Linked DNA regions of Drosophila melanogaster. The protein of the gene in region 1 interacts with the protein of each later gene in a pairwise test. Each region holds a gene or a part of one and is shown in the gene's direction. Other genes may lie near its edges.

Region 1 (3,335 bases):
GGCGAAAGTCGCGTTGAGCATACTAACACTTTTTTGTATGTTTGCTTAGCTTAGGTTTTTACCTGGCAAAAACGCAGCAGGGGTTGGGCATCGGATTGTGGCAGCCTCGAAGTAACAATAATAAAAGCCGGGCGGAGGGAAACAAAATTGATGTTCCCTGCTGCAGTAGCTACATACATATATGGCAGGAAACTATATTGCCACATAGGCAATTTCATTGTGCGATATACATATATTCTGGCAGATATGTTAGGGACCCTGAGCAAATTGGTTTACCCGGCTTACCCTTTTCACACAACTTTAGTTGAACTCCCACTACACAACTGAAAATAAAAAGGTAGTTTAAGAAGCTAGTTTGCTTATAATATATGGGATATGTAAAGCATTGATAAAAAGTCAATTACAAAGGTTTTGTAAATGTAATTGTTGTAATTCGTAGCACACTTTTACGCATACAAAATTTCCAACAACTTGCCCCTTTTAGTTAAATATTTAATTAAATGTTGTAATGCAGTTTAACATATACATTTTCACTCAAACTTTGTACCACCATTTTGTTGCCTTCCAGGTAGAAGAGGTAAAAGGGGGAGTGGACCTTGAGAGAGTTGCACAATTTGCTAATTACCGCAATCAAAGTTTTCTTGTTGGGCAGCCAAAAACAGCTTCAAAAGCACAAAACTGATAAATTATAAATTAAAGGGAATCTCAGGAAAGTTGGCTCTTTCCCTATCTTTAGTTTACACAGCGAACTGTTGTGAGTATTCCCTCGTTTTTTTTTTTTTTTTATGCTTGGATTCGAGTGCATAATTTACGAGTTGAGCTCGCTGCCAATATTTCAATTACTCTACGGCATTTCGAGCAGTCTTCCTTCTTGCCTCCCTATCCCAGAAGCAATTTCAATTGAGCTTAGTGCTTGCGGAGTACTCTTTTCGGTAGGCGGTTTTGTCTCAGGGCGAAATTAGTGGCCAAAACTGCGGCAGATTACAGGCCAGGCCAAGAGCGAACTTCAAACAATTATTTGGCCAGCTGGGCTGGGAAGCTGGCTTTTAATTTGCTTAGCCCCTGCCCATGAATAATGCAATACGAGAAAGAAACGAGACCAAGAAGAATTTTTGTATAATTGCAGGGCGCACAAAATTTCGCTTAGAATCTCCTCGGGCCACATAATTGCTGAGTGGAAAGGGGCGGCAGAAAGTTAAATGTAAATTAAATATTTCCCTCGTCTTTTCTTTAGCAAAACGCAAGTTTTATCCGGCTCTTAAGTCAAATATTCACCTGCTACAGGAAGGCCAGTGAATTAACATGAAAATGAATGGACTTCAGGTGAAATCTTTATTACAAACAATTTGCGGTGTCCTGCGAATACAATGGTAACTAAAATAATTATTTTGAGAAGCTCTTTTATAATTTCCCGAAATATTACGTTAAATGTAAATTTTTGTTGTTTTTTATGCAAACAATTTAAGTATATACACCAGTTCGTTTTTATTTCCAGTGCCCATAATAAGCCCCGTTTCAACTGCTATTTGAAGGCACGATTGCATCGATTAATTATGGCTGTCATCGTGTAAATTGTGCTAAATTATTATTATCAATGTTGTTGGCCTGATGACAAACATTCAATTTCGCGAATGTGTCGCGCTCGACGGACACCCAGGATACAGATACACAGGACGACCCGTTGAAGCGGAGCGACCAAATTGCAATTGTGATATTGACAATAATGCAATCAAATAATCAATCAATTAATGTCTGCTTGAATTAATGCCGAATATTATGTGCTATCGTCAATGCCATCATTAGCACTAAATTCAATTACGTTGCAGGCATATCCTGTTGCCCTCCATGATGATTCATCATTGTTAGCGTACTTTTCCGATGAGGCACGGCGTACACGAATCCTAATCCCAGGAGCCTGTGGCCCACACATTACTCTCGGCCTTTAGAAAAACTTCAAAATTTGTGGCTTAAATTTGGGGAGCCGGAAAAATATTCCATGGCTGGATCACCTGGCGTTAAGGATAAGCTGAATCTGATTGTTGGCGGGGACATTTGCGAGGTATACCGGGATGGATTCAATTGCGGATCCTTTGGCTTCTGGTGCGGACTCGTCGGATTGGCCGTCTTCATAATTTTTCTCGCCTACTTTCATATAAATCGGGAGCGAATAGATCCGACGTCATAATCCCCCTAAATGTGGACAATTCTACATAAATGTGTCATAAATAAAAAGTAATTTAAAAAAAAGTACACATAAATCTTTTGATTTTGTTAAAAAAAACCCTTTTATTCCATTAAAGATTAAAGTTGGATCCAAAAAAAAAGTTGTGTAATGCATTCATTAGCGTGTTATATATTCTTTATGAGCTCTCCTTCACATACAAAGCTCTTTGAGTTGTCTCTCAAATGAAATCCCGTAATTCCGTCAATCCAAATTGATATTTTTATTCATCAAGCTCGATTTTCATGAAATTCATCCTTAAATCGTTGTTAAAAATGCATGTGCATATTTTTCTGCCGGCTCTTATTACCATGCACCTACATATTTATCACTGCTTGATGGACCCAAAACGGATGCTATGTAAATTTTTACTCGGTCGATACATTTGACAGAGCTCATATACACTCTCGTATATAAAATGCCTCAACTTCGTTTGATTTATGCATCATTCACGCGCAATTTATCGTAAAAATTACAAAAAAAGTTCAGCGCATAAAAAAGAAAATGGAAATTCACGTTTTTCGAATCTACAGACAAAGTGCACTGGCGTTAAAAGTCACGGGGGTCATTTATTGGGTAGTTTATAATGCAGTACAACATAACTGATTTCCAATGTTGTTTACTCAACTTACAAACATTTTGATTTACGTGTGTGCGGCACAGATATGTATTGATATATTGATATATATATATATATATATATATGTTCACGTATATCAATAACATCACCAGCAACAACATTCAACAACCAACAATAATAAAGAGGCTGACGGGCAGGCAGGCGTAAACCGAATCGTGTTTATATATTTACTTAACTTTTATGGTCCTCCCTTTGCCAACGTGGAAGTGTATTTGATTATGACAAACAAGTACAGCACGGCCTAAAATTAAAGTATTTGTTATAAAATTATAACAATTATACTATATAATTATAGTTCAATTAGTATGTAATAAGAAGATGCGCTTTAACCATCAATTTATTTATAATTTGAATTATTTTAGGGATTTAACTTCCAGTTGTAAAATCCCATTCGTAATCTAATGTTTTATATTTGTGACCTGATTTAGGGACTCAACGTATTTAAACATTTCATGCACAACTGTACGGAGGAAA
Region 2 (4,025 bases), on another chromosome or scaffold:
ATGTCTGGGATGGATTTCTGGCCCTTGGCCATTTCGATTTTAATACAAGAAATTCCTGACATTGTCGCCTGGCCATAAAGAAGTCGAAGGGAATGCGTCGAAGGAGCCGAACTCGTATGACAACTTTATCGGGCCGAAAGAAGAATATTTGCTGAGATTTTCAGGTGGTTTTTAGACGTTGACCTTGTCTTATGTCCCTTATGACACTACCCTAAGAAATCTGGTCTGGTCACATCTGTGAACCAATTTACTATTCCCCTTTCTTGACCTTTTAAAAAAACAATTGGAGAATCTTATAAAAAGAGCACAAAACGGTGTGATAAATATGTTGGCTATAATATTTATATATTTAAAAAATCTAAAAATAAAGTATATAAAGTAAATAAAGTGCCGTGCCCTAGCGACCTTTTACATTTTAGGCATTTGCATGGAAATGGCCATCATTTTGTGACAGGAGCCAAAGAAACTCAATGCAGTTTTAAGTAATTTTATGTGTATTTGTTTTAATTTACATTCAAAATGAACGATAAGATTTTCTGGCCAATTTTCTGCCTTGTCCTCTGCATCTTGATGCATTGACAACTTGTCAAACATTCTAATATCCTGTACAGCTTGTGATGTGAGCATTATGGGGGAATTTGGTTTAATTAAACTGCATTCATACATGTGCAAATACATCGATTTTGCTGTTTGCATATTAATTCCAGTAATTCTAAATGAAGACGGCAGAAATTACGAGGATTTCTCAAGTAATCTCAAATGGGTGATGAACAAATGTCTATTACAAATGGGAATAGTTGGACTGTTAAACAGGATTAATATATTGGAAATATTTGTTTTACGACAAACTGAAAGGTTTTCATTTTATATTCATCATATTTTGTTGAATCTACTATTTTCTTTTAAAGTTTTTTATATATAACATATACTACTGTTATTAAGTGGACCCTTTAGCAATTGCGAGCGATCAAAAGCTTTTGAACGATTGATTTAAATTATTCCGATTTTAGTATTCTTTTCTCTACCCTCCCCAAAAGTCATTTATTTTCTGAATCTTGAGGGTGGAAAGTTAAACCACTCGATGTCATTTTGACGCCAGTGACTTTTTCCCGTATTTGCCCAAAATATTAGCGTAATGCCTTTGACAAATCAATTGGCAAGCGATTGACTTGGCAGACAGAAGGCTGAGTGTCATTAACCACACCCTCAATGGGCGTTGGTCACACCTCGTGCCAAAATTATTTGCCCAGGATGCTCCAAGAATTGGAATAAAAGACCTTGTTGACGGTGCGGATCAAACGCGAACGAAGCTGTGACAAAGAGATCTTGAAAAGCGTTCTGTTTGACTTAACAATCGTTCAAGTAAGGGATCAAGTAGAAAATATACGACCAGTAATTCTTAATTTTCAAAAACATAAATTGCCTATGGTTAGAGAAATAGGTACAAAAGCAGAAGCTAAAATGAATTTATTATCACCGATTACAGAAATAGAATATGAAGTTAAATATCTTGCGATAGAAAGGATAGCTCAAACTCAATCAAATTATGTATCTGCGAAAACCCATTTACAACCCCAAGCAAAGACAAAGCAATTTATGAATAATTTGCATAATTCATGTAAAAGGATATTTTTAAACAGATGACACGAATTGGCAACAGGTGCTTTTGGCGGTTAAATGTTGGGATCTTTCTTGTATCGGTGGTACTTGACATGCATCTCGTATTATATAGCATATAGATGTATATAAATATATATATTTATATACGAGCTCCTCAACTGGCAGCTACTCAGTTAGTGGTGGTAATTTCAATAATTTCCACATTATAATTTAATAATGTGTGGATGTGAAACAAGCTGCATGCTTAATTTAAACTTTTCAGCTTTAATAGTTCACAGACTCTCGACGTTTATACGGACGGACAGACTGACACAGCCATAAGTATATATTGTACATACATATAGACTAGCCCATCAATCCTGATCAAGAATATAAAGAATCCATCTGAAAGGTAAACCTTTCAACAAATCTAGTACTCTACGCGTGATGGGTATAGAAAACAAATATAATCTAGTATTCGAATAGTTTACTGTCGTTGCAATCGTATCCAAGTTTTTGTAATTTGTATATCTTCTCAGTACTAAAGGTCTTAAAAACTCAAAAAAAAAAAAAATATGGCCACAAGCGCGAACTCTGTTCAAGTTTCTGGAGCCGGTGCGGAGGTAAACGAAGCTAAACTCATCTGCATCTGGGAGGGAATAACTGAGCTGATCCTGTGGCGCAACTGGATAAAGTCGATGCTTGTATTCGTAATGCTACAGACCATAATTTATGATCTGCTTTCTGAACCGCTTGTGTTCGTGGTGAGCGTATGGGCTTTGATTATCATGGTCATATCAATGGGGTACCGTTTTTTGGTACAGTACACTAATACCCATATCCAGAACAACAGCTATCCGAAATATCTTGACATAGACCTAAGAATCTCCCAGGAGTTATCTAAGCAACTGGGTGTTCTAGTTTCAACCAAAGTTGTTGCGTTTCTAAATAATCTACGAGAGATATTACTAGTAAAGAGCTTTTCGAAATCATTCAAGTGGTTTGGCCTTCTCCTAATAATTAGCAAACTTGGAAAGCAGATTAACTTTCTAATTGTTGGCCAATTAGGTAAGTCTATCATTAATAAATAATGAAAGAAAATAACAAAATTCATTCAAATATCAGGGCTGTTTCTACTCTTCACAATTCCCAAAATGTGTGAGATGAATAGACGTTCATCAAATATTGTACAACTTCCTAAATTTAATAAACAATATCAAATTACCAAAGTAAACGCTTCGACCGAAACCCAGAATGCATTGGACATGGAATCCTTAAAAGAGTGCAACGAGGACACCATAAAGCTAATTGAAAAGCAACCAGAAGGGATGGATCTCTCACTCGGCTGTGATATTACCAAGGAATCCCAGAATGCGGCTGATGATCTTAAAGCCTTTAAAGTAAAGGAGGAAATAGACATTGATGCTTTTGAGCGACTTGCCGATTCCTGGTCCGACGAAGATACACTTACTGATCAAAAAAATTAATTCAAGACAATTCAAATAATTTATTTTTATATATTGTGAAGCGTTTGGATAAATAAAACTCCTAGGGGCACTGTGCGGAACAACAGCTACACGACTTGCTTATTCTAATAGGGAGATACTTTAACCTAATTCGAACTACTGCTTTCGTCGCCATCGTTCACAAATTCAAAGGCCCTTCTGGACCGGAAAGCGTGATAGGGTCCTTGCTTCGGCTGTCCTGCTTGAAATTCACTCCTAATCCTTGAGACCACTGCACCACTCTGCGGTGAATAGTTTGCCTTGAAGATCTTTAGGAATGACGGAATGGGAGGCACAATGCCATCCGTATGAAACTGAACAATCCCCTGGATGTGTTGAGGTCGCAAGAGGCTGCATAGCTGCCGAAGATGCATCCTGGTCGGAGTCGGTGTCCACTTTAGTTCCTTTAGATCCAAGGAAACTACCTTTTGATAGTGATTAAAGTCCGTCGGGCAACCGCTGACGAAAACCCTTGGTACATAATTTTCCTCCAGAAAACGCTCCAGATCGATGCTAAGGCACTCATAGCTTTTTGCAATGTGGTCGCCCAAATGAATATGCCCGCGAAGACTTGTGTGTGCCAATCTCCATAACATTTCCTCGTAGCCAAATTTTGGCACTTTCAGGTGCACCATACTCTGGTCATTTCTTGCTCCGAGATCCTCGATGAAATGTGCCATCTCATCAAAATCAATATGATCAAACGGCAAATTTACAGAGGACAGATTCAGATACAGCTGCTCGGTTCCCTGGGCGATCCAAGAGTTGAAGACAGAGTTGCCCAGTAGACGACCAAGATTATCCAGCCTCATAGCCGAGTAGCAGTACAGCAATCTGTTACCCTGCTGCCGCCGGATAAGCAGAATGAGGCTGTGTCCCAGATGACTTCCAGAGCATAGCATCCCTTCCAACCGTTTTCCG

The links. The genes of interacting proteins can lie anywhere in the genome.
Region 2: the proteins of CG34170 (region 1) and CG42853 interact in a two-hybrid assay, tested with the Drosophila melanogaster proteins (one large-scale study listed by BioGRID).

Annotation. Positions count from the first base shown.
Region 1 is NT_033779.5:17,310,421-17,313,755, reverse strand, and holds CG34170 (uncharacterized protein), read left to right. Parts: upstream 1-1,935; 5' UTR 1,936-1,996; coding exon 1,997-2,185; 3' UTR 2,186-2,288; downstream 2,289-3,335.
Region 2 is NT_037436.4:18,120,077-18,124,101, reverse strand, and holds CG42853 (uncharacterized protein), read left to right. Parts: upstream 1-2,112; 5' UTR 2,113-2,174; coding exon 2,175-2,667; intron 2,668-2,724; coding exon 2,725-3,086; 3' UTR 3,087-3,170; downstream 3,171-4,025. Other genes in the region: CG7341 (uncharacterized protein), read right to left, coding at 3,212-4,025.